Cricetulus griseus: one gene and its partners. The protein of the gene in region 3 interacts with the protein of the main gene of each other region in a pairwise test. Links are inferred from orthologs where the notes say so. Each region holds a gene or a part of one and is shown on either strand. Other genes may lie near its edges. The genes, in order: Cep295, Resf1, Exoc1, Ccdc88a, swi5-dependent recombination DNA repair protein 1 homolog, Srgap2 and Nup54.

The links.
Region 1: the proteins of Exoc1 (region 3) and Cep295 interact in a two-hybrid assay, tested with the Homo sapiens proteins (2 studies listed by BioGRID and IntAct). The link is inferred for Cricetulus griseus from reciprocal best matches to the Homo sapiens genes EXOC1 and CEP295.
Region 2: the proteins of Exoc1 (region 3) and Resf1 interact in a two-hybrid assay, tested with the Homo sapiens proteins (2 studies listed by BioGRID and IntAct). The link is inferred for Cricetulus griseus from reciprocal best matches to the Homo sapiens genes EXOC1 and RESF1.
Region 4: the proteins of Exoc1 (region 3) and Ccdc88a interact in a two-hybrid assay, tested with the Homo sapiens proteins (2 studies listed by BioGRID and IntAct). The link is inferred for Cricetulus griseus from reciprocal best matches to the Homo sapiens genes EXOC1 and CCDC88A.
Region 5: the proteins of Exoc1 (region 3) and swi5-dependent recombination DNA repair protein 1 homolog interact in a two-hybrid assay, tested with the Homo sapiens proteins (2 studies listed by BioGRID and IntAct). The link is inferred for Cricetulus griseus from reciprocal best matches to the Homo sapiens genes EXOC1 and SFR1.
Region 6: the proteins of Exoc1 (region 3) and Srgap2 interact in a two-hybrid assay, tested with the Homo sapiens proteins (2 studies listed by BioGRID and IntAct). The link is inferred for Cricetulus griseus from reciprocal best matches to the Homo sapiens genes EXOC1 and SRGAP2.
Region 7: the proteins of Exoc1 (region 3) and Nup54 interact in binary tests that used the Homo sapiens proteins (3 or more experiments, as listed by UniProt). The link is inferred for Cricetulus griseus from reciprocal best matches to the Homo sapiens genes EXOC1 and NUP54.

Annotation. Positions count from the first base shown.
Region 1 is NC_048597.1:128,863,392-128,867,463, forward strand, and holds the start of Cep295 (centrosomal protein of 295 kDa), read right to left. Parts: upstream 2,801-4,072; 5' UTR 2,786-2,800; coding exon 2,668-2,785; intron 2,602-2,667; exon of another isoform or gene 2,422-2,601; coding exon of another isoform or gene 2,391-2,421; intron 93-2,390; coding exon 1-92. UniProt on the Homo sapiens protein: Centriole-enriched microtubule-binding protein involved in centriole biogenesis.
Region 2 is NC_048601.1:387,014-390,972, forward strand, and holds the start of Resf1 (retroelement silencing factor 1), read right to left. Parts: upstream 2,801-3,959; 5' UTR 2,549-2,800; intron 2,511-2,548; exon of another isoform or gene 2,162-2,510; intron 1,758-2,161; 5' UTR 1,693-1,757; intron 1-1,692. UniProt on the Homo sapiens protein: Plays a role in the regulation of imprinted gene expression, regulates repressive epigenetic modifications associated with SETDB1.
Region 3 is NW_023276807.1:142,982,077-142,985,576, reverse strand, and holds part of Exoc1 (exocyst complex component 1), read right to left. Parts: intron 3,224-3,500; coding exon 3,064-3,223; intron 1-3,063.
Region 4 is NW_023276807.1:77,811,636-77,815,135, forward strand, and holds part of Ccdc88a (girdin), read right to left. Parts: intron 3,496-3,500; coding exon 3,358-3,495; intron 1,983-3,357; coding exon 912-1,982; intron 1-911. UniProt on the Homo sapiens protein: Bifunctional modulator of guanine nucleotide-binding proteins (G proteins). Acts as a non-receptor guanine nucleotide exchange factor which binds to and activates guanine nucleotide-binding protein G(i) alpha subunits.
Region 5 is NC_048596.1:13,804,928-13,809,218, forward strand, and holds the start of swi5-dependent recombination DNA repair protein 1 homolog, read right to left. Parts: upstream 2,801-4,291; 5' UTR 2,658-2,800; coding exon 2,645-2,657; intron 1,592-2,644; coding exon 1,062-1,591; intron 384-1,061; coding exon 1-383. UniProt on the Homo sapiens protein: Component of the SWI5-SFR1 complex, a complex required for double-strand break repair via homologous recombination. Acts as a transcriptional modulator for ESR1.
Region 6 is NC_048598.1:57,700,363-57,703,862, reverse strand, and holds part of Srgap2 (SLIT-ROBO Rho GTPase-activating protein 2), read right to left. Parts: intron 2,511-3,500; coding exon 2,295-2,510; intron 1,491-2,294; coding exon 1,362-1,490; intron 1-1,361. UniProt on the Homo sapiens protein: Postsynaptic RAC1 GTPase activating protein (GAP) that plays a key role in neuronal morphogenesis and migration mainly during development of the cerebral cortex. Regulates excitatory and inhibitory synapse maturation and density in cortical pyramidal neurons.
Region 7 is NW_023276807.1:157,226,286-157,229,785, forward strand, and holds part of Nup54 (nucleoporin p54), read right to left. Parts: intron 2,887-3,500; coding exon 2,690-2,886; intron 1,438-2,689; coding exon 1,383-1,437; intron 994-1,382; coding exon 900-993; intron 1-899. UniProt on the Homo sapiens protein: Component of the nuclear pore complex, a complex required for the trafficking across the nuclear membrane.

The DNA of each region.
Region 1 (4,072 bases), on a different chromosome or scaffold from region 3:
CAAAATGAAGGCTTCCTCATTAGGACTCAATCTCAGCTTCCCAGTGTTCATTACCTTTCTTTTCATTTCTGTGTATTTTAAATTCAAAGGATCTGAATTGAAGAGAAATAAATATATGAATGTCTATAAAATATATTACAGAAATAGGGCAACAATTAAAATAATTACAAAACTTCAATGTATTTATATACATATACACCCACATGTAAAATCACACAGGTAAACAAAGTCCAACTTATTTACAAATAGTTATAAATCTGGTCTTTAGATCACTGGTTGTCAGATGGATGAGAAAGAAAATGAAGAATGGGTAGAATTGCTCAGAAGTTTGTCCCCACCTATAGCGACTGACAAGATTTCAGACCTTACTTTTTCCCTGTTTTGGCATTTCCAAAGTTTATGAAGCACTTAAAAGATGTGTTGGCACCGAATAAATGTTTTCTCAAGAACAATTTAACCTGGTAACCTATATGTAAACAAAAAGAAAAAGGGTCCTTGTTTGCTGTATATAATTTAATCACCTAGCACCACTAAATTTATTGCATTTTATCAATTCCATGGGCTTAGTCTAAAAGATTCCTCAACAATTACCATGACCAAAAGTAACTTGGGAATAAAGGGCTTATTTCAGCTTACAGTTCTACATCATAGTCCATCATTGAGGAAAGTCAGGACAGGAACTCAAACGGCAGGAACACAGAAGCAGGAGCTGATGCAGAGGCCATGAGGTGTTCTGCTCACTGGCTTGCTCAACCTGCTTATATCATTCAGCATGAACAGCCCAATGATGGCACAGTACACAGTGGGTCAGGCCCCATCAATTATTAATCAAGAAAATGTATTACAGATGTGCCTACAGGTAGATTTTATGTGAGCATTTTCTCAGTTGAAATTCCTCTTCCCAAACCACTCTAGCTTGTGTCATGGTGACATAAAACTAATCAGGATATATGTTATCCTTTTTTAAAAATGACCACTTTAAAATAAAACAAAACTAAGAATAATCCTAATTGTATATGTGAAGTACTTAAGATTCCCAGGTATATTCTTCTATTGCTATTTTTGGGTGTCCCTGATGTCCACTCTACACTTCTTTTCTGTGTCTATGGTTCTGAGATGGAACTCAGGGCTTTGTACATGTACATACTTCCACTGTGCTACAGTCCCACTCCTCTTCTCTAAAATTTTTAACATGCTCTTAACTAGAAGAATTTGGTATGGGAGACTAGAATGTGATAATCTATAGCTGATCTAATTTGAAAACTCTTTCCAAGTAATTCTGCTACCAACCTGTTCCCATGATCACTTAGCGTCACCACACCATTGTGATTTTATATGAGATGAGTGCACATCTCTCTGGTCTCTTCATAGTGATGAGCAGGCAACTGTATTACTGGGTATTTGCAGCTCTGTGAAGCTAGTTTAAGCTTAGCCCCTTCTACTTTACTCACTCATCTTACCTAGAATATAGACTATCTATATGCATTTTCATAAAGGGATGGCTTGTCCTTTACTTTTCACTAATTACTATTTGTCTTTTGTAGCTATAGTTTTGTTTAAATTCTCAATACTCAAGTAAATATAATAACTTAAAAATACTGTTTTGATGAAGTGCTTGGGTAACCTGGTAGGAACCAATACTTTTTTCATCAAATTCTCCATCACAAGTGTGGCCAGGACAAGGGTGGTTGTATTCATCACCTTATGTTTCTGTCTAAAAAAGCTGTCTTGCACTTTATAGATAATTTAGGGTGGACTGAATTAGACAGTGACTTAGTACAGTACTACATGGGCAGACCAAGTCATGGTTATATACAAGAGGGCTCTGATGTCAAACAGGAGTAATTGCTTGAGTTGAAAACCTTTTCCAATACATCCCATTGATATTCTTAAAAAAAAAAAAAAAGCAAACTCTAAAGGATGGCTGGGGATCCAAGGGAGGAATATTGCAAATTGTTTCCCATAGGAGAAAATTATTCCTTCTACAGTTATCAAGTAGAATCCTGTTGTCTGGTTTATTCACAAGTCATTTCTATCCGTGTGGATTTCCAAGTTCTATGCTTTGTAACTGTGCAATAATAGATACAATAGGACTTACCCTGATATATTTCATTGCGATAATTAAGCAGTAGTATCTGACACGCAGTAATCACAACATTAACACTAGACTTAACCGACGTGGATGCAAAAGCCAACACTGCCATTCACTAGCAGAAGGCAGTAGCCAAGTCTGAAATCCCTTGGGTCCCGTTTCTTTACTCCTTGTAACGGTAGTAATACCCACCACACGGGGTTGTACTAAGTGTGGCTTAATTGCTGCGAAACCGCCGAACACATTATAATAATAATAATAATAATAATAATAATAATAATAATAATAATAGACTAACAAGCATTCGGTACCGTAGTTTCTTGTCGCATAGGTTAGCCTTGAACTCGAGGCACTAATACCTCCCGAAAGAGTGCTGGGATCTCTGGGTGAACCAACACTCCCGGCTGAGACTGCCATTTTTTCAAAGCCCACTGTGACAGGAGTCTCCGGGGGTCGGATTGCACAGAAGCGCCACGCTCTCTGCAGGACCCGCCTCGGGAGGTTTAAAGGGCCGGAAGGCTCGCCCGCCTGCTCGCGGCCTGCGGGGAGAACCCCGGCGGGCCTCCGTCACTCACCTGGCAGCGTGTGCAGTTGGACCTCACGGCACACGGGCGTCCACAGGCGGCCTGCTACCCAGCAGCCGTTTGGGCCCCTGCGGGACGACCATCGCCAGGTTCTCGTCACTTCCGCCATTCAAACGGCCCGCCAATGGCGGGAGCGGACGGCGGGAAGCACCTTGCTCCCGCCTCCGCCGGGGCCGCCGGGTAGGCCTCGCCGTGCCGAGACCCCGCCCACGTGTGGTCCCGCGCACGCGTAGCCCTGCCTACATGCGCGCACGCGCAGTTTTGCGCCGTGGCCCATTATTTCTCACAACTACGGTCTGGCGCTGTGTCACAGACCCGAAAGCAGAGATGTGGGAAAGGGAAGCTCTCTGGCGGGCCATGAAAGGGGACATCAGTCCTTCTTGTTCTTGAGGCGCGTTTGGTTCAGTTGCCTGGCACTGTTGACCTGCTGATTGGACAAATGTTGTGCTTTACCAGGCTGACGTCTTGGAAAGAACATTTCCCAAGTGGAAACTGGGGATTGAGACGTGCTCCGTTTTTAATGGGAAACCAGGAGGAATCAGAGCAAGCGCAGTAGGCTGAGAGAGCGTCAGGCTGCACATCGCGACTCTTACTTATTACATGCTAGCCTGGACCCTAAACCCCTGGAGTCGTAGTTTACTTTAGACCTTTATTGTTGTAGACCAAGCCACCCTGGAATGTCCAAAGTGGCGTGTTCTTTTCACCTGGCATCTGTTTCCTAAGCGAAGGGTTCTGCTGGAAGTGTTCAGTGGAGTGCCTGGCTCCCTGTTCCTTTGCCATGGGGACCAGACATCTGTCTCACTGCTTGTTCCCTGTGTTTTCACAGGGAATGTCCTAAGAGAGCATTCTCCGGGGAAAGAGTGAGGCTGCTGAGTGCTTTTGCAGGGAAGCTGAGGAATTGTAAAATTTGCCGCATTTTACTGGCTAAGTGTCAGGGCCAGCCCAAATGCAAGTTAGGAGGAAATTCTTTGTGGGCATCTTAATCCTTAGTAATACTTGACTTGCCCTCGTCCCTGAGTCCACGGGACACTCAAAGTTAATAATCATGTGAAGGCACTTTGCACATTCTCAAAAACTATAAGGTCTTCTGTTAGAGTGTTTTCTTTCTTGTTTAAAACTTTGCCCTTTGATATAGATCCAGCCCCTCAGGTCACAGAAGTATGATCAAGAAAGGACAATTGCCATCCTCTCTCTTGCCTATGTGACTGGCCCATGCATGGGTACATGTCCTAAACTGGGCCAACGGTATTTTGTAGTAATTGTTCTTACTGGAACCAGCAAAAATGAACACATTCCTAAGTTTATGCTGGGGTATGAATCTGGAGCCTCGCTGTGTAAATTCTTCATCAAGTGACTCTACACAAGCTGATCTGAAAGCACAAGTCTGACACACAAT
Region 2 (3,959 bases), on a different chromosome or scaffold from region 3:
CATATGAAAACAAAAACCTGAGTTTAGCCTCCTTTGTGATTTCTTGGTATAAGACCAGATAAGAACCCAAGGTAGAGAATAGCAGAGCTCAAAGATAATACTTACTTAGATATCTGTTTGATAGTTCTAATCTTACTTGAGATACTTATCTCACTAAGCCTGCTCGAACTACACCTTTCATTTACAACTTCATTTAGCATACAAGGAATTCTAAGCACTGCACAGGTGCCTCTAAAACAAAAAAAATCCGGAAGGTCTTAAGGTTTTTTAGTTTGCATTTAGTTTGCATTTCTATAGCCAGGGTTGGTACAAATTCTTGCTTTACCTCAAACTGCTTCCCAATGTCTTTACAGGAATTAGCTTCCAAAGAAATGGGAAGAGAAGCCTGCTAAAACAAAGATGCTTGAAGTTCACCATTACTAAACTTTAACAAGATAACAATTCCCTAAGCAGTTGATTTCCTAAAATCATGGCACTAATAATGTAAAGGAGAAGGAACTAACCAAATAGGTGATAGAAAGAAAGAAAGAAAGAAAGAACTAGGGAAAGACTACTGTACTCCAGGAATTCACTGGGTAACTTTGACTTCAAACAAGCTGTAAGCAGGGAATGCAAATCTAATCCCAGCATTCAGGAAGACCAGAAGGATAAAGAGATGAAGGCAGGTCATCTCCTGCTTGACAGCAAGTTCAAGGCCAGCCTAAGCTACGAGATGGGTTTAATATGTATTTTAACTTTAAATTACCAAATTGAACTGCCTATCAAACAATTCCATAATGTAAGTACTACTGTGATCCCATTTTATAGATGAGGAAGCTGAAGCAGGGAAGTAAAATTCTTCTGAGATTTTACAGAGAGTGATGGAACCAAGTGGTAGTGCCAAACTAAGAAGCTTTATAGTCACGGGATAGAAACACCCTTCCCCACCCCCAACCCCTTCCAGATCACTGAGTATAGGGGTTGAAAGACATGACTCAACAGTTAAGAGTACTTGTGGCCCTATAAGAGGACCTGGGTTCATGTCCCAACACCAACATGGTAGATACACAATTGCCTGTAATGTCAGTTCTAGGGGACCCACGCCCTCGCCTCCACACACCAAGTACTCTTACAAATGGGCACAACTTATGCTCATAAAACAAATTTTCAAAAAAAAATAAAAATAAAAGAAAAAGTCACTGGTACTACATTCCAACCACAAATTAAGAGCTAGCCTCTGCCTAGGTAACATTAATTCACCAACTAATATAACCTCTCCCAGGGTAGCAATCAGGCCCAGAGTTCCAACACTGCCCCCACAATCATCTCTCCCCTATTTTACTAAGGCATGAATAAAAAAGTAAGTAGTAAGTGCTTTTAGGCACCATGCCAACGATATTATTTAAGCTTTGTCATCAAATCCACTGTGTAAGGGTTTCATTTGGGGGAAGTTTGTTTTTAGTTTTCTAGATTATTTTCCAGACAGGATTTCTCTATAGCTCTGGCTAGATCTGCAGGTGAAGCTGACCTCGATATCAAAGAGATCTGCATGCCTTGGCCTCCCAAATGCTGGAACTAAAGGCATACCAGGCCAAGTTCTGTAGGTTTAGCCAGTGTTGATTCAACATTTTATTCCAAAATAAATTACTCCATGGTAAAATGTTAGTAGTTGTCCAGTAAAACCAGGACAGGCTTTTTAAGGTGCAGACTTACCTGTAAATACAATTTTATCTTTTAGTCTCTTCCACGAGGGGTACGGTACGTTCACACCTTTGATCCTAGGAAAAGCAAAAAAACGTTTTAAGATATAGGGCAAATCTACCTTAAAGTGATACTGAGAGCATACTAAGTTTACTGAATTAGTAATAGTTATGCTAAAAACAAAACCACTAAACTAGGGTAGTCTCAAAATAATCCCTGCCACCAGAACTCAAGTGTGCTCCTCCAGGTCCACTATTGTCCTATAATTCCAAAGCAAAAATACTTCGTTAGCAATTTTCGTTATTGGGTTGGTAAAAGAGAAACCTACTGGGGCTTAGGAAAGAGGCTACTAAGACCTTAGATTGTCAACAAGAAACAAACTTAAGATTTCTCCTTAAAAGTAACACATTTAGCAATTTAAATGCCCACGCAAGTTCTACTGCTGGCCTATTGGAACGCACGCCAAGCTCACACACTTCACCTGCTTTTTCATTTTTCTAGGAAAACACTCAAAGTACCACAAATGCAAACTGCTTCCGAGATGCTGCGGGCCGCGACGCTCACCCAGGCCTGGGCGGAGCGCAATGCAAAGCCGCTGGGTCGCAAGGGCGGGGGCGGTGCTGGGGCGCGCGGAAGACAAGCCAGAAAGAAACCGAAAAACAAAACAAAGCTCAGCTTCTCCTCCCGAGACAGGAAGGAACGTGAAGCTGCAACACGACCGCCCGCTACGTCAGGCCAACAACCGCAGACCGCGCGCCCGCCCCGCGCCGCGACCCCAGCGGGCTGCGGGCTTCCAGCGTCCCCTCGGTGGGGACGGAGGTGACCGAGAGCCAGACTGAGACCGGATCAGAGAACAAAAGCCGCAGACCTGCCGCCCCTCCGGCTGCTCACTCGCCTCTAGCACGGACCGAGGCCTCCGCCAAGCGCGCGCACACCGCGCCGAGCTCCGGTGGCGGCCTCCGTTTGGGCGGATCCAGCTGGCTCTGCGCTCCGCCCCCGAGCGTCTGCCCAGGCCCATGGTCCTAGTGCCGGGCAGATAAGCCTTCGGCTGAGCTTAGTGGAACATGCCTTCACATCCAGCATTTGGAAGTGAGAAGCAGGAAGATCTCTGTGAGTGAATGAGCCCAGCCTAGCTGGAACTGAAGGAACAGAACAAACTTCATTTTGAAAAAAAGGCACCGTTTTCATATGTGGTCCAGGGCTGATTCAGCTCTGGCAAAGGAGCTATAAACAGTTCTAAGAAAAACCACAAACTGCCTGCCCCAGTCAAAGAGACCATACCGGGTGGCCAGCCAATGACTACATCTGCTCTCCCCAGATGCCCTTGCGGGCAATTCTTGTAGCTGTGTTAGAATTATCCTAGTCCCCAGCCAATGAATTTAAAGGTCACAATCTTACCCAATCATGAAATGCCAAAGCATGTGCCGCCCTGCTTGCGATTTTTCCCTTTAAAAACCTCTTATCCTAAGAGCTTGGAGTCATTCTCCTTCACTGGCTGCATGGAAGTGTTTGGTTGACAGTCGAAGCTTGAGCTTGTAATCAATAAACCCCTGTGTGTTGCTGGGTGGTGGTGCACGCCTTTAATCCCAGCACCCGGGAGGCAGAAGCAGGCGGATCTCTGTGAGTTCGGGACCAGCCTGGTCTACAAGAGCTAGTTCCAGGATAGCCTCCAAAGTCACAGAGAAACCCTGTCTTGAAAAACCAAAAATAAATAAGTAAATAAACCCCTGTGTGTTTGCATCCAGCTTGTAATCAATGAACCCGTGTGTTTGCATCGGTTGCTGACTCTGTGGTGGTCTCAATTGTGGGTCTCTTGACTTGAGCTCAACAGAAATAGGTGGGATGGATAGATAGATATGTTAGACCCCCAAAAACTCAAGTATCCGGGGTCCCAGGCCAGGATGGCGGTCACCCCAATCACCAGGCGGATTCGAGAGCTTGCTGCAAACTGCACAAGGCTTTATTGTAATTTAACGAGCTATCCCCATGTTAGCTCGGGTCTTTCACCCACCCGCCATGGTGGATGGCCAGAAAAGACGGCTCCTAGGGGCTCCCGAAAGATCTTATAGGGCAGCGTAAGGAGAGTGTCTAGGGGTATGCACAGGCTCACGATTGGTGTGTCTCCAGCCTTGGAGGGCTTGCCCTGTGTTGATTGGTCAACTGGTTGTTATGGCCCATAGGCCCTCCCAGGGTGGTTGCTATGCTCTGTAGTCATTGCTGTGCGCTTGTCCGTAAAGCACACCCAGAGCCATAAAGCATAGCGCCACCAGCTAACTTCT
Region 3 (3,500 bases):
TCTTCTCCTCAAACATTCCTTTGGGAGCTAATAATGAATAGTACTATTACTTTTATTACTCTATGGATTTTGTAATAAATTTATCCTTGTATACAACTCCATAAAATATGCAACCAATAGTATACAACAGGGGCAAGTAACATATACACATGGAATAGAGTAAGAAGAACAGGGTTACGCACCTTCTGTAACTTTAGGCAGTTCTGGAGAGTAAAAGGTACGAGAAAAGCAGAGGAAAGTAAGCAGAGAATATTAGCTGGGTAGAAAATAGTGTACAGATTTAAAACTTTTAACTACTACCCATATCTCATTTGAACTTCATGCGGAACATGGGTTCTAAGGGCATTGCCAAAACCAGCCACAGTGGACAGATTCCTAAGAAGCTGAACTTCATGCTTGTTTTTCTTCTTCGCTGTGTAAAAGTGTCCTTCTGTATCTCCTCTCAGTCTGTCAGAAACAGTACTGACTAGTCCTTGAAGAAGAAAACTGGGAAACTAAATCATTTCCTGGGGAGTATTTTTAGGTCAGTTGTGACTCATGCATTTAGTGTAGTTATTTTCACTCCAAGTCCAAAGCTTTCCAGGACACTCCTTCACAAAGGATTAGTCACAAAACACTGTTTCAAAGAATACGACTGAGGTAAGAAACAAACAAAGGAGACAGCAATGCAAGCAGGCATTCAAAGGTTCGAGTGGAAGATTATTTAACAATCTAGCTGCAAGTCAAAAGAAAAAAATAGAAAACAGAACTTCCCTCTCCATCTCTAAAACTCCAATGTTCAATTGTCATTTATTAGAAACTATGAAAGTTGCTGCTGCCTCTGCTACATGAACGGTTACAATAGCATCAACTTACTTGGGTGACTATTTAGCTCTTCACATAAGGTGGTAATGAGGTTCCCTCCACCCCAAAATTATCCAAAACCTAGAGACATTTACTAATTATACATGTCAGCATATTAGGAATAAATAACATCTGGAAACACATAATATTTGAAAACAGAATGGCAAGCTTTTCAATGAGTGACTGACTTATGAGAGTATTCTTGCCTCAATTGGTAACACGCAAAACAAAAATCTCCAAAGTCATTCAAAGAAAATGAATCTGTAATTGAAGGTAAGAAAAATTCCTAGGGAGTCCACACACCCTGCAGTCAGACACTAGTGATATGGCAGCGCCTTGATGCTCCTAACCTAGGCCAGTGTCTCAGTGGGAAGAGGTTTAGGTGTGGGGGCTGCTCAGATCTGCCAGATATAAATATCTGCCAGTTCTAAGCATCAAGGCCAGAGAGTAGAACTGCTGGGAAAGAATCATCTACTTGAAAGGAGAAAAGTCTATAGCTAAATAAAACAAAAGAGGCAAGTGGCCAGATAAATGGTTTGCTTCAAACTATATCATAAATTATTGAACACTGGGCCAGAGAATAGCTTGGTGGTTATAGAACCTTGCCTGGTGACCCAAATGCAATCCCTGGAAACCATATAAAGATGAAAGGGAGAACTCCACAACTTTGTCCTCTGACCTCCACACAGGTGCCATGGGATGCACATGTTCTCCTCCCAATAAACACATAAATGAAGTTTTAAGGCGGACATGATGGCTCACTGGGAAAGTTAGGCAGGAGGCCTAGCCTCGAGAGTTCAAAGTCAGCCTGGAATTTACTACACAGTGAATTGTAAACTAGCCTGGGCTTCATAGCGAGATCCTGTCTCAAAACAATAAAAGACCAGTTTTCTTCTTTGGGATAGAGAGTACTATACTAACTGCATCCATGGGCAATTCAGAACCATTTCCATATACTGCTTACACCCTTAGGAAAGAAATCCTTTCAAAGAATGTAATCTTTCTGAACATTCTAATACTTCAGAGAAGAGGTTGTCCTGAGACACAGAACAACAGTCCATAGGAACATTTGCAAAGGCAGATAACTCACAAATACCCTCATTAACCTCTTGTCTAAGGATTCCATGCTGCTAAGAAGAAATGAGATTTACGGAGCATTTACTATAAACCTGGGATATTTATAATAACTGTAGGTAGATACTATCATCATCTCTACTTTAGAAACAATGGGAACTGCCAGAATTTAAACTCGGGCAGTATAAGGCCAGAACTGTACTAGTTATTACTATGTCCATGGTAGGCAAGAAAGTAGTGCTGTGGGGACATTTATCCCACAGCTGTTTAAAATAAGAAAGGGCAGGAACCATAATAAACACATAATGGCATAGCCAGACAATGGAATACTCTGATGCTAAAAAATGTTTGGAGTAAGTATTTAGTAACATAATAAATGTTTGGGCTGAATTCATATATGAAAAAAAAAGAACGCTAGGAAACAAAAGTGTAAATTTCTCTATAAGAAAATTATTTAAGTATTCATAGAAAAAAGCCTAGAAGAATAATACACCAAAATTTTAACAGCAGTTATCTCCTAGGAATATCTTTATAATTGGGCATTTTTTTAAGTATTGAGATTGAATCCAGTGTCTCTGCACATGCCAGGCAAGTGCTCTACCAATAAACTGCATTTCTAGCCATCAGTGTTTATTTTTAGACAGTCTCACTAAGTTGTCCAAAAGCCTCACTCTGGAGCTGAGGCAGGTCTTGAACTTGCAATCCTTCTGCCTTAACCTCCCAAGTAGCTGGGATTATTGGCTTGTGCCACCAAGTCCAGGCTTATGAGTGACTTTATTTTTTAATTTTTTTTTTCCCTTTGGTTTTTCGAGACAGGGTTTCTCTGTGTAGCTTTTGGGCTTATCCTGGCACTTGCTCTGGAGACTAGGCTGGCTTCGAACTCACAGAGAATCCACCTGCCTCTGCCTCCTGAGTGAGTACTGGGATTAAAGGTGTGCGCCACCAACACCCGGCTACTTTTTAAATTTAATATACCAAAATCCTATAATGTACACTCATAACGTCTTCACTAAGAAAAATTACTTTGAAATTTTTTATGACATATTGTGAAGTAAATTCAGTATCCTAATTACTTTAAATAACACCAAATTATATATTCATTAAGGATACACTTGACCACACATATAAACTTTCATTTTCTTTTACCTTCCAAAAGCTGTGAGCTAACATTGACAAAGTCAATCTTTTTGCGGAGATAGCGCTGATTCAGTTTCCAAATGCATGAGATGAATGCATTCTTTTCAGCAGTGCTGCTGGCAACCCACTTATAGATTTTTTCAAAATGTAAATCAAATTCAGGGTTTTCCTAGAACAAAAAAAAATGTAAAAGTTCATTTGATTTTGATCCTATCACTTTTCATTGTTAATATAAAATCTATTTAAAAATTAAAAATGGAAGCTGTTTTGGGGGGACAAAAAAAAAAAGACTATTAAAAAATACCATGTAAATGGTTAGGTATGTAGCTGCGTGGTAGCACTCTTGCCTCACATATCCAAGAGCCAGGCTTCCATTATTACACACAAACATCAACCAAATGAACTGAAATGCTCAGAGAATATAATTTATAGCAAAAACTAGACAA
Region 4 (3,500 bases), about 65 Mb from region 3:
TTTCTAATGCTGTGTTATAAAATGATAAGAAAGTCTGTCCTGGTAAACACACAAGATGGATTTGAAAACAGTAAGGAACCTCCAACATACTCAAGGGCTTTAATGAAGCACAGAAACTTATGTGCAATTTGTTCCTATGAACTTACATAAGATACAACACCCTTCCACTAGGACAAACCTCTTTTCTTGTGGTAGAAGGAAGAGGCCTAACACACTGATCTCAAGAACTAGCAACATTTTTTATTGGCATGTTGCTCATATTGGCAAGTTCCTTCTTAAGGCCTCAAAGAAGAAATTCAGACACAGAACTGTAAAATAACCAACCCTGTCCTCATGCCAGCATCCATCCCCATACTTTAAACTGAGCATAGACTCCATTCTGACATATTTCTGATGTAGCAAGTATTACAGGAGATGTCACCAAATTTTAGAAATGTCAGAATTCTCAATAGTTCAGTGTTGCAGTTTAAGTTGAACCTGATTTTCATGCTCAGGCTTCTAAAAAAAAAAGTCACAGCGCTTTGGAGTTTGAAAGATCTAAAATTTCGAGCAGAAATTCAATTCTTTTATTAACTCTGTGATTCTGAGGAAGTTAATATTTCTGAACTTATTCGTTATTATGAAAGATAGATAGTATTTAAATGATTGGTTATGAAAATCGTATCAATTTACTTGAATATACTCTGCATGGGACTCTTTAGCCAAGTTCCTGGTAAAAACACTTACTCCAATTAATTTTTAAATGTAATTTAAACTTTTCATCTAAATAGGACAGTTAGAAATTGTTTCTAGTTCTAATTCCAAAATTTTACTGAAGTATAGGAAAGATGATACAAGTTAAAAGTGGGTTCAATAAAACATGGGCTACAAATATAAAAAATGTTTGCTTAAGTTTAGGTGAATATATTTACCTCACGTAATGTAACCAGAGTTTTAATATCAATAGTTGCTCTTTTTACAAGCTCCTTATTTTCTTTTTCTAATTCTTTCAGACGAACACAGGATTCTTTATATACACTAATTTCTTTAAATAAAGTTTTGTTTTCTTTTTCCAAATTTCCAATTTTTACATTATTTTCTTCTAACGTGGTATCTTTTATTTCTGCTTGTTGCCGGAGTCTCTTATTTTCCTTCTCCAATTGTTTCTTATCCTTTTCAAGTTGAGATGTCTCTTGCTCTAATGATTTATTTTCTTTTTCTAGTTGTTCAAGTCTTTTGCTAGATATTTTCAATTCTTCTAGGTTTTTTTGTAATGTTTGATTTTCCATCTCTAAGTCTTGTAGCTCACTCTCTAATTGTTGTATTTTTTTATTGCTATTTTCTAGAGCTTTCTGTAGCCTTTGATTTTCTGTGTCTAGCCCCTGGTAGCTAACTTCCAAGCGTTCAGTCTTCTTGAAAGAGGCTTTCATGAGCTCCAGGCCCTTTTTGAGCTGTTCCTTCTCGCTCTCTAGCTCTTTGTTCTCCAGCTGGAGCTGGGCCATTTTCACACTTGCACACTTCAGAGACTCCACGTTCCTTCGCAGTTCCAAGTTTTCCTCATCAAGTTGGGAATTCTCTTTTTCTAGGGATTCTAACTGAAAAGTAAGGTTTTTAAAGCTATCCAAAGTTTTTTTAAATTTTCTATTTTCTCTTTCTAGTTCCGAATTTTCTTGTTCCAATGCTTCAATTTTTTCACAAGTAATTTTTAAATTAGTTATCTTCTTCTGTAACAATTCATTTTCTTTTCCAAGATGATGCAACTCATTTTCAAGTTCTTCTGCTCGCTCTCCTTTTTCTTTATAATGCTCCAATTCTTTTTTCATTTGTCTTTTTTCAAATTCCATCTTGCTTAATTTTCCACTTGTTTCTTTGATAGATTCATGGAGAATCTTATTTTCTTTTTCAATGTCCTTCACTCTTGCCTCAGCACTAATCTGGGATCGCTGTCGTAAGGAAGACACTGTTTGGTTCAGATGTTCATTTTCCTGCTCCAGTATTTTAATCTAATTGAAAAAAAGAAGAAAATGTAAAATTACAATGCATAAGCATAGTCTTTAAGCTATCAAAAACTAACAAGAAAAGAACATGGGTACTGGAGTATATGGCTCACTATTTTTAACATGACAATGTTTTCTGAAAGACCACCTTGTAGATGCACTTTCAGACCACTAAGTTCATGTTTTCAGGGACTTAACAATCTAAAGGAATATCTAAGAATCAAGTATTTACAATTAAAATGATGTTCGGATTATTTAAGACTTAATCTACTTCAAATATCCTTAAAGACACAAGGTTTTAATTTTCATCAAATAATCTTTATTTTGCCTACATAAGGTGGGTCCTTGGTAAGTATGTGTACCTTATTTGTTTTTGTGTGTGTAATCATTTGTGAAAGGAAATTTTAACTGAGTAACATATAAACAACAAAATGACCTAGTCCATCTAAAAACAAATCCATCCAATTTGTAGCATAACCTGTTCTGAGTTTCAAGATGTTTGTTGCCATCTCACTCCTTCCTTGTTACCATGGAGGGAGTACTGTGCATTCTCCAACTTGTCTTTAAAATCTGCAGGGCTATTCTACAGACATGTGAAAAGCACAGGAACTGAAGAACATTTATAATCAATTGTTATTAAGTAAACTGGCAATTTACATTTTTCTAAGCTTCTCTTCCAATTTTCTAAAATTATGGTATAGAATATGTACAATGGTATAGCAGTTCCTCCCTAACCAGACAAAATATATTTCAAGATCCCCCACAGACAACCTGAAACTGCAAAGAGTTCTGAGTCTGTATGTACTGTTTTGTTTCCACACACTGTTGATCATTTATTAGGCACAGTAAGAGACTAACAATAATTTTATCATAGCCCTGTATATATTCTTCCTTTCTTTACTATGTGGAAAACTTTAAACTTCTCATCTTAAGGAAGCACTTACTAGTTTCCTTGACATATCGAAATGCTAGTATTACTATTTTTGCAACTTAGGACCATTATCAAGTGAAGTCAGGATGACCTGAATGAAAACACTGTGACAGCAGTAATAGGCAGGCAGTGGATATACAAGGAGAAACTTGTGTGCAAAATAACCATTCATGTGCATCACCTGGAATGGGACCAGATTTCATGACACTACTCAGAAGTATAGACAACTCAGACTTTACAGATTGCTAACTTTTAGAAATAGCTGGATACATTGGATGACTTGAAATTTTGAACTGTAACAGACTTCAGTTTACAGTGAAACAGCAGAAGCAAAACTATACATAAAGGAAGCTATTACAGTCAGTCTGAAATCTAAAAAGTGCTAGTTGGTTTCCTTGTAGTGGTGTATAAACATTTACTTTAACACAACCAAGTGAGAAATACACGAACCTGCCTCTCGGAATTTTCTCTCAATGTCTCAATTGTTTTTTCAAGCTGAGCTTTCTCTTTCATTAGATCCTTGCTTAAATTTTGACAATTCTGAAGACTTCGTTTTTCTTGAATAATTTCATTTTCAAGAATTTCAACCTAGA
Region 5 (4,291 bases), on a different chromosome or scaffold from region 3:
TACATTTTGACAAGTTTTAATCTCCGAAGAAGTTCTTCCTTCTCTTGAACCTGCTTTGCCAATTTTGCTTTTTCTTCCTTTAATTTTTCTTTAGTATTCTCACTCTCAAAATCATTTTGGAGGGCACTGGAGGACCCAGTACCAAGTGACTTAGATTTGCATGCATTTGCATTCTCTGAGCTGTCTTTTTCAGACGCACTGTCTTTGTGTTTCAAACTTCCTTGGAATTCGGAACAGCTTTTTTCTTTTGATGATGCTCCTGGTTCTGAAGAGGTCTCATAATTTTCCTCCTTCTCTACTTTAAGTCGTTTCACCACACTACAAAAAGAATGAGATGAAGACCTTGTTTTCTTTAATCTTTCTTTAAGTGTTCCACTCATAGGCTGAAAAAGACACAAACAAAAATATTAAGAAAACATTCTTTTGTTTGTTTTTCAAGACAGAACTTTTGTGTGGCCCTGGCTGTCCTGGAACTAGGTCTTTAGATCAGACTGGCCTCAAACTCATAGAGATACACTGGCCTCTCTCTGCCTCTTTGGATTAAAGACATGTGCCACCACTGCCTGTCTAAGAAAACATTCTTCAAGTGAATCAATCTATTAGAAATAAAGACCGTACATTTCTATAGTACGTACAATGGGCGGCTTTTTGTCTCCACAAATCTCAAGCAAGTATCACTAATGCCTTTATTTCCCAGAAGCTCCTTTAGTCTTACTTTAGCAAGGTTAACTTCCTAAACTAGGCCTGAGACACTTCTCCCAGTCATCAGGAGTATTTGTTCAGCAGCTAGCACTTGCCTGGCAACACTAGAAATGCTTCAAAACTACAGACTAGGGAAAAGACCTGTCACCAAAGACTTTCCCTAAGGAATAGTATATAATTCAAATTTGAAGAATCTCAATAACCTGCTAAGAAACTCAACAAAATGAACTGATTCAAGAAGAAAATCTGGCAAAGACAGGAAGGCACAGGCTACACACTGACACTCCAGGGTCCTTAAAACTGCCACTATCAGAACATTTCAAAACACAGAAAGGGGGTGGAAAGCAAGATTTTCATACTTGTCTTCCTAAAGTATTTGTTTGGGGTGATGGTAGAGTATCACTGGTCCCCGGAGTGTCAGGTAAAGTCGATGCTGAATCTGATGTGCTCTTCTCCACCTTGCTCGATGCTGAATCTGATGTGCTCTTCTCCACCTTGCTCGATGCTGAATCTGATGTGCTCTTCTCCACCTTGCTCAATGATGAATCTGATGTGCTCTTCTCTACCTTGCTCGATGCTGAATCTGATGTGCTCTCCATCTTGGCGGATGTTGAATCTGATTCGATCTCCATCTTGGCAGAAGCTGAATCTACTGCACTCTCCACCTTGATGGATGATGAATCTGATTCGCTCTCCAGCTTGGTTGATGTTGAATCTGATTCACTCTCTATCTTGACGGATGTTGAATCTGATTCGCTCTCCAGCTTGGTGGATTCTGAATCTGATGTATTCTCCACCTTGTTAGATGCTGAATCTACTGCACCCTCCATCTTGGTGGATGTTGAATCTGATGCGCTCTCCATCTTGGAAGCAAACTCCTGATTTCCTTCTAAAAAGGAAAAGGCATGGTGATCAAATTAATATTTCAATTTTAATCAACAAAATTTTCCTTAGTGTACAAAACACCAAAAAGCCAGCAATTTCTTCCAATTATATATAGCTGTGATTTTTTCTAATTCTTTTCGAAGTTTTTCATTTACTTCTCCCCATGGGGAGAACAAGGTTTTGTTTTTTCACAACAAATTAACCGGCTATTATGCCATTGACTCTCACTGTTCTCCTTAAAATATCTCAAAAATATTGCACTTCGGGGAGGAAGGGAACTAACTTTACATAATCGAGAATTGTTTTTTTTAATTTTTGTGATAATTTTGCAAATAAAAGTGATACAGCTGGAATAATATAAATATCTTGAATCTTAAAAACTTTGTGCCTAGAACCAAGAATGCTGCAGGCAGGAGCCTTAGAAAGCAATGTGCACCCTATTTTGGTTTACCAAGGGGAAAGCCTCCCCAGAACCCATCTCCTCCTCCCTGGGCCCCATCTCCTCCTCCCTGGGCCCCATCTCCTCCTCCCTGGGCCCCATCTCCTCCTCCCTGGGCCCCATCTCCTCCTCCCTGGGCCCCATCACCTCCTCCCTGGGCCCCATCACCTCCTCCCTGGGCCCCATCTCCTCCTCCCTGGGCCCCATCTCCCCAAGCCCACTCCTTCCCTGCCTCCAGCACAGAAAGCCATCTACCACTCCCCTGGCCCCTCCTCCTCGCCCCTCCCCACAGAAAGCCATCGCCCCTCCCCACAGAAAGAACCCCTCTCCCACAGAAAGCCATCTACCCCGCCCTCTCCCACAGAAAGCCATCTACCCCGCCCCCTCCCCACAGAAAGCCATCTACCCCGCCCCTCCCCACAGAAAGCCATCTACCCCGCCCCCTCCCCACAGAAAGCCATGTATCCGGCCCTCCCCCGTCCTTTCCCCACAGCCCTCTACCGCACAGGCAGGACAGGGAGGCCGCGCTCGGGCGCCGCCGGGAAGCGCCGCTCTGTCAGCGCCACAGGCCGGCGGAGGCCGGGCGCCCGGAGCGGCCGCAGGGAGCAGGCCCCATACCTTCGTCAGCCATGCCCACTGCAGAACAACAGAGCCGCAGCCAGCGTAGCGGCCACAGGAGACGGGCTCGCCCCGGGGGCGGGGCCCGGGGGAGGAGACACGTCCGATTGGCTAGCGCCGCCGTAGCGGGCGGATGTGCCTGGGCCAAGCTCCCGACCGCGCGTGCGCGCAGGGCCGCCAGCCTCAGCCAGGGGGCGGGGCCAGACGTGCGCCGCTCGTGATTGGCAGGGCCGGCGGGCGCGCTTCGGGGCTCAGCTCCGCTCGGCGCGCGCGGCCGCCCCCGGGAAAGACGGCGCCGAGACGCTCTCTGCCCGGGCCTGAGGGGGGCGCGCTGCCGCCGCCGCCGCCACCGCCGCCGCCGCGGTCCTTCGCGGGCTGCCTTCTCGTGCCGCCTCCGGGGGCGTGCCCCGGAGAGAGGAGCGCGAGCCCCGCGCCCGCCCGCCCGCCCCCTGGCAGTCGCTCGCTCCCCGCGTTTTCCTCAGACGTGGCAGCGCCGGAAGCCGCGGGGCCTGCTCGCTCCCTGCCCGCGAGCCCTTCCCAGGCCTTTTGTGGTCACCGCTGGGCAGTGTGCGCGGCCGCGGGCGCGCCAGGAATCGGTGCGGGCCTCCGCAGCCCGCCTGGCCGCCGTCTGGCCCCCGACTTTGCTGTGCCCGCCCCGGCTAGTGGCTTCGCACGTTTTGGTCAAACCTGAGAAAACGTAACCTAAGGGCGTCCTTCTGGCACAGGGCGGGAAGCAGAGCAGTCGAGGGTCGGTGCAGAACTCACCTCAGACCCTGCGAGGCTACAGACTCGGCCTGAAACGCCCCTCCGTTTCCGGTGTTCGGGGGCGGGGTGGATGTTCGGATGCTAGGCAACCGCCGAGGGAAGCAGCTTGCTTGGGTGGAGCCCTGGGCGTAGGGAAAGCAGCTGAGTAACTTGTGAGTCACTTGGAAGTTTGCAATGGCAAGGACCACTCTTGTTACAGACGTGTTCTAACGGTGCCTTTGAAGTGCCAGAAAAAAGTGATTAGAGTCCTAAGCAGCAGAAACTTAATGAGGTTATTAGGCCTGTAGATGTTGCGGGCAGTTAATTGCCTACGTTCAAGTCTGGCACCCTAGTGGTTTTTTTGTTTGTTTGTTTTTTACTTGGTTTTGTTTTGCTATGCAGTGTAGAGGCCGTGTACCTGTTTGATGGTTTGGTAAGTGAGAATATCTACCTCCTACAGACGGGGAAATTAAATGATAATTTATGAACGGCAGTAAGAACAATTCAACTACCCAAAAAAATTTAATGGCGTTTTTTATTCAAGCATACTCGTCATCCCCTAATTGACCTAAAGCTATGTATCACAAGCTTTTATCCCTTACCTTTCTTCCCAAAAGCTCAGATTTTTTTCAAAATGGTGCTATGTCCTACAAAATTTCACACAGCCTAAGCCATAAATACCAGAAAACATGGAGTCTTCACATATGACTATTAATAAATATTTCACTCCTAAATGTTTAAGAAACATGAATTAACCTTACCAACTTCAGGACACCAACAACAGAATTTATGATTTTATGATACAGGTGCTACTTGCCAGCGCACAGATCACTCTGCCCACTAATCCTCACTTTTTCCCTGGTAGGAGTTGATCTCACTGCAAAAAGGGACTTTCTTGCCTTG
Region 6 (3,500 bases), on a different chromosome or scaffold from region 3:
TGGTGTAGGGTTTGACCTCCACTGAAGGACAGTGTTCAGATTGGCATCAACAAGCAAAGAGAACAAAGAGGAGCCTGAATGCAGACCAAGGCTCCACTTACCAGCTGAGACGATGACATCTAAGGCCTTAGGAGGCCAAACCCTACAGATCAAAACTCCCTGGCTGAAAGGAAACTAGTCTGTATTTTAGAAAAGTTCCCCCAGCAACCCTGATGTAGGCCAGATTTAAACAGTCCAGGTCTTTATTTTACTAGGGGTAGAGTGGTAGGAAATAGAGCAGGGTTCCAGATTAGTTCAGAAGCAAGCCTAAGATGTGCTAATCAGTTATATAATAGTGAATCTGCGCCCAGATTCCCCACATGATGTAAAGCATAGCAGGTATGCTTGTGAAGAAACCAAGGTGGAAAACCACGTGCTGAGTCTTGCAAGCTCAGCTGCTATTGACAAGAACCCAAGGCAGATACCAGGTCTCAGAAAGAATACTGCTGATGTCCTAGAGACTGGACTGCTGATGCTCAATCAGCTGGCTCCAGGCGCACTTTGGTGACTCAAAGAAGACATGAGAAAGGGTTTGCTTACATAGCTTCATACAAAGCTGGTCCAGGAATTGGGCTGGACTACATTCTGAATGTGAGAGACATTTTAGGACACAGAGATTGAGGAGAAGCAGTAAGAAATCAAAGCAAAGCGTAACCCACAAATAAAACATGTATGCGTACTAGCCCCCCTTCCTTTTTTCATTTTTGTGCCATTTTCTCAAAAGAGAACAGAGCAGATAGCAGTAGCATCTGGATGCCATCTAGATAGGACCCTAGTCTGCAGCACAATGCAGACCCAAAACCTTGGGCAAGTAGGTCTCTAAGCTCTCTGGATCACAAATTAAGAGAGCATTGAGTATCTATAAGAGTGATGTGACAATGAAATTAGAAAACAACAAGAAACATGGATTGTTATATAAACATAAAGGAAGGCATTTTAACTCTTGTGTTGCTTCTTTCTACAAGCTTCTGATATAAGAGACTATTATTTGACAAACAGAAGAGCACATGGGTTTAGGAATCAGAATTTGGTACAAATTTTGTCTCAGCCTTTTACTAATTCTGGGTAAATCACTAAACTCTCTGAATGTCAGTCAATATTATAGATGGTATTTGCTTTTCTCTCATGAATGCTGTGAGGAATGAATGATATCAAGTGTAAAGTGCATCACCTTTACACAGTGGATCATGGCTGCTACCTTCAAATTGGTCTCAAAGTGGCCAACATGTCTGAACACAGAAATGGGGAACATGTGAAGTGTAGGCTTCTGAAATGAGGCAAAGAGATACCCACAGCCTCCCACACCAGCTTTAAGTACTTACATCGATAATATCAGACAGGTCATGGATATAGTACTTGAAGACAGATGCATTGGTTGCCTCCAAAGCCAGTAAGTACTCATTCCGGGCTTTAATGGCCTTCAGCTTATTCTCTGTGTACTTGGCTTGTCGCTAAAAAGAAAACACAAGTTCACTTTTAGTCATTTTTTAAAGTTAAAAACATTAAAAATGTTTACTTATTTCATATGATGTGGTATGTGTGTGTGTGTGTGTTTCCATGCACATATGCCTTTGTGTTTTTGTGGAGATTGGAGGGCAATTTGTAGAAGTCATTTCTCTCCTATCATGTGGGTTCCTGGGATTGAACTCGGGTTGTCAGGCTCAGTGGCAGTGACTTATCCGATGAGCCATTTTGCTGACCCATCACTATTACTTTTTAAAATAGAGGTCAAAACTGTTCTGTGAGAGGTGAAGGACAGCACGCCAAGAGCTTCCACTTTGCTGCTACTCCCTGTGTACATCTGCTTTAAGCTGGATTCTAATTCTGATTAATGAGATGAATATGGTTCAGATGTGTACTCTACTTTGATTCTGTCTTCACATACTATTCTCCACCCTTGCTGTCACCCTGGAGAAGGTACTTCCACGTCTCCCGTGAACCCTGGTATTTTAAAGCCAAACTACAAGGTCCACAGTCTCCCCTACTTCTTAAAGCAATAGGACATTCAACTCCATTTGGAAAATGAGCTGAGTAAGGTGACTACTGATTCTTGTCAATACACTTGAAATTGAAGTCTGAGAATTCATATGCTTAGGTTCTCCAATAGCTAGGATTCATGGTAAGACAAAGAATGATTCGGCACTAAAGGAACTAGAGCTGCTTTGTTTAGCTCTTCATGACACCTACTGGGGAATTCCTCAATCCTGCCTTCTGAACATCCCTTTCTGTCTCTAGAGTTGCCAGAGCACATCTACCTTCTCCTTCATCTTCTCAATCTTCTTCACAGAGCTCCTCCGGACATGTTTCTCCTCAATGCGGACATTGGCAGTGGAATCAGGGGAGCGGGGTGTCTGCCGGTCCTCTTGCTTCACTGATTTACCAATTTGCTTCTCTTCTTGCTTCTCTGCTTCCTTTAGTTTGCTCTGAGCACTGATACTGTCAGCATTGTACATGTGGTATGTTTTCATGACCTGCAAGGCATTTCCATCCAGAGGTCACACAAATGGCATCAACTCTACATGAAGCAATATTCATATTCCTCCAGGGAATGTCTGGTTCAATACATATATATGAAGGACCATGCATAAGTATAGGATGGTTACTGCAATGATTCCATATAAGTTTCATCAATGTTTTTACTTTCATTCATCATTATCTGTAAGCATGACCTTTATATTGGCTCAGTAATCTTTATTGCTTAGTCACCGAGTGATACTAAGTAAAACAAGAAATAACAACACCTCTTTCAGACCCTAAAGGCAAAAGGCAACATGACCAAAGGAATACTCTATATTTTCAAATATAAAGCAAGGAAGAAGAAAAAGTTCCAAATGTTCTGGTCTGCTTTATCTCATTAGACACTTGCTCTCACAGAAACACGTCAATAGCAGTTACCACCCCTTGTTAGTTTCATTCATTTAACAATTCTACAGCCCAAACAATGTCCTGTGAAGGCTGTAGACCTGCATAATTCAGGTAAGAGGCTTTGAAAGAAGAAATTACATATCAAGTGTAACTGGGATTGGCCACAAGCAGAAAGTAACATAAGGCGGGGGACATAGGGTTGGGTATAGTGGTACATGCCTTTAATTCCTGCACTCCAGAAGTAGTACAGGAAGATTTCAGTGAGTTCAAGGCCAGCCTGGTCCACATAGCGAGTTCTAGGACACCCAAGACTACATAGAGACCTTGCCTTAAAAAACAGACAGGGAATGGGGGAAGGGAGGGGCGAGGGATAAAATTTTCAAATTTTCCAAAAGAGCTATTGTCCAGGAATTGAATATTATTTCTTGGCAAGAAGGCCAGAAGATAGAATCTCAGCTAATTTTTAGTCCTCTCAAATATATTACTTCCAGCCACACAGGAGCTGACCTTACTCTGCAGGAAATTTCTGTTTCCACATAGGCAGCTTCCAAATTAAAATACAATAATAAATCAAGCAATTGGAAATTCATGAGTAC
Region 7 (3,500 bases), about 14 Mb from region 3:
TGATGCGCACACACCTGAAATCTCAGGACTAGGGAGGTAGGGGAGGGGAATCAGAAGTTCAAGGTCATCCTTGACTACAAGTGAATTTGAAGCTAACAATTTATTTTAAAGGTGATACTCATGAATTCAGTGTGTGCAGACTAACATAATAGAGCCTGGAAATTAGGCCACAAGAGATCATGCTAGAATTTTTGGTCAGAGAAACACTAAGAAGAAAAAACAATTATGTGTAAATATTTGTAAGGCTTTACGGGAAACAGTGGCTATGCATACAGAAATGCTAAATCAGTGTAAAAGAAGAACTGCATTCACAGAAATGGCTGGCAATGAAAGGGATTGCTTTACAAACAGTAAGCTTACTCATGTCTAATGAAATTGGAATCGAAAGAGAATGTGGAAGTAGATCTGTAGTCAGAAAACCAACAGTGCATGAGATCTTGTTTGATTTTAGAAGTTAATCAGGGTTGGGTCTGCTAAGTCCTTGCATTAAAAAAATAAAATAAAGCAGACTTTGAATAAATCTAGGCTATAAATCTAAACTCATAAAATACATCAAATCAAATTCATGAGGCTAGAGAGTTGGTTCAGATGTTAAGAGCACTGGCTGGTCTTTCAGAGGACCCAGGTTCAATTTCACACTCAAACTAGTCTGTAATTCCAGTTCCAGGGGATCCAATGCCCTCTCTGGCATGATATGTGATATATAGACCATATAGGTAACAGTCATACACATAAAATTAAAGGAAAAAAAAAAGTCTATGTGTAGGGGCTATACCATAAAGAAAGCAGGTGCATAAAGCTGTTGCTGTTGATCTGCAGTGTGCTAGTTTCCTGTAAGAAAAAACAGCACACACATGGTAAAAACATCTCAGGATAGAGAATGCAAGGTATATGCTTACATCTAATCTGGTCTGATGCTGCTTAGTCATCTGGTCTTGAACCTTCAGTCTTCGAAGCAGTTCTTTGAAACCCACCATCGGTACAGGAATTAATCTAAAATGCAAGGTCACTTTTCAGAACTTATTACGAAAACCATGAAGATGTATTTCATAATAGACCTCATATAATTTTATAATGAATTTCTAATCTGTGGCATTGAGACCAACAATTACTATGCTATTTCAACCTCCCTATTTTATGAAGAAATACAGGTCAGTCAAAAACTTGCATTATAAATGAAAATGCAGTAAGTGGCTAGGATTCAGGTTTCTCCATTCCTACCTAGTTTCACCTCATCTTACTGCCTTACCATGGTAGAACTGTTTTAAAAAGCAATGAAAATAACTCTTTAAATTCGAGAATACAACTAATAGCCCATATTTGTTTGCTTTCTTTCTGGCAAGTATCAGTTTGTATATAAAATAAGATGGTGATACACTTACTTTTCAGAATCGGGGTTATCCACCTTAGCTTGTTCCCAAATAATAGGATCAACACCTACCACAAACAAAAATATTCAGATATTCTTTTAAAACATATGATTTTCTGCGTTTATATTTGTATGGGAAATGCTTTCTAAAAATTAGACACCGACTTCAGGAGCCATGAGGAATTACTTTAAAAAAATGATCATTACAAAAATAATCTTATAAAGATGGATTGAAAGAAGTATCTGCAACATACGGTATAATACAACTAACTCTAGAACACAGAAAGAGTCCACAAAAACAAAAGCACCATGAACTGAACAGGAAATGAGCAAAGGACATCAAAAGTCTATTCTCAAATATGAAAAGATAGTCAACCTGGTCATCAGGAAAATACACTACTCTTTTTAACTAATTTATGGGAGGGAGAGGGTGGAAGGGAGGAAGAGAAAGAGAGAAAGCGAATATATTACAATTGCAAATATAATTGGTAGAAAGTTCTTTGAAGGGCAATTTGCCAGTATACCTAACAAACATAACACAGTGATTCAAGTCTCACTACCAGAATTTTATTCTAGTGGACTTCTTGGTGTAGAGGGGAGTATTGGTGCCATACTATGTTGCTTAGGCTGCCCTCAACCTCACTATGTAGTCCAGGTTGTGACCTCAAACTCATGATCTTCTGCATTCCATCTCACAAAGGCTGAGAGTACAGGTACCAGGCATCTTATTCTAAAAAAAACTTAAATGTGCATGTGTTCTAAGATAAATTTCTACAGATATCAACGGCTGCTTAGTTTGGAATGGTTAATGCATAGAAACAATACTAAGTAAAGTATATCTATAAAATACTATATAGTGTTTAAATAGAATAAAGTTCATCTTCATGTACTAACACGAGAAATACTAAGAAATACTGTAAGTGAAAAGGCAGGCTGCAGCCAGTATGTATGCCTTTATTTAACAACACAGACACAGGATCGGCAGAGTCCAGCGCTACTAATAGTTACCTCTAGGAAAGAGAGACAAGCTAGAATATCAGTCTACTTAATTGGGATACCTAGACTTTTTTAAAAGAGCAAACACATTTAAGTTTTACTTAAATAGTTAAAACAAAGATTAAAGAAACCCAACACATTTCAAGTGAATTACCTACACGCAGATAGATTATGAATTATTATCACTTCCCAAAATTTCTAATGTATTAGCTACATAATTTAAACTCAACTGACTAAAACACAGTATTCAAGAATACATTCCAAGTAAGCAGACATGTGACAAGCTCTAGCATTAATAACCAACTAGCCAGCTCCAGCACATACCTGCAGGAGGGTTCTGCAAGAGCTGTTTGATCTGAGCAGGGGACAGTTCTGTTCTGGTCATAGAAAGTGTCACCCCAAGCTGCTGCAGCTGTGTCTTAATGTTAGCTTGCTCAAAGTGAGCATACAGTGTTGTTGCTGGGACCCTTCTCGAGGTGCCATTTGGAGAACGCTCAACAACATAAATGACAACTTCTGTCCTAGAGGAAAACAGCCAATTTAAAACACACTGACTTTATGACATACAGCGACAAATACCAACACAGCACAATGATTTATAACCGACAGTCACAAATGTTTTAAGACTGCTGGCTGAAGTTGGAAATAGTTTTCATAGGAGAAAAGTTTTTTTGTTTTTTTTTTTTTTAATTTTGAAAGTAAACCTCTATGTTAGGCTCATTTGTAAATCAACTTAAATGACAAAAACCAAAACGAGGTAGATGAATGTGATAGAATTTGTTTTTTGAGACAATTTGCTCAGTGATATATTTCTATACCAAATATTTCTTACTATTCCCCACCCCCACACCCCCAGAACTATTTACTCTCATGGTTCTGCCAAATTTATGGGCTACTTTCTGCAAGCAAGACCCAAGAAGTATAACCTGAGTCAGTCACCAGATAGTGCTAGAAACAGCAACAATATAATTCGCCTAACCTTAAAGCCACCACCACCAAGAAGAAAATGGCAGAAGGACAAGGGAACTAGAGCAGTCCCGCTCTTCATGAATGAGCAGGGTAATCAGGCTAGACATGGCACTGCACTTCTGCAACACTAGCACAAGGCTAGCCTGGGCTACAGAATGCATTTCTG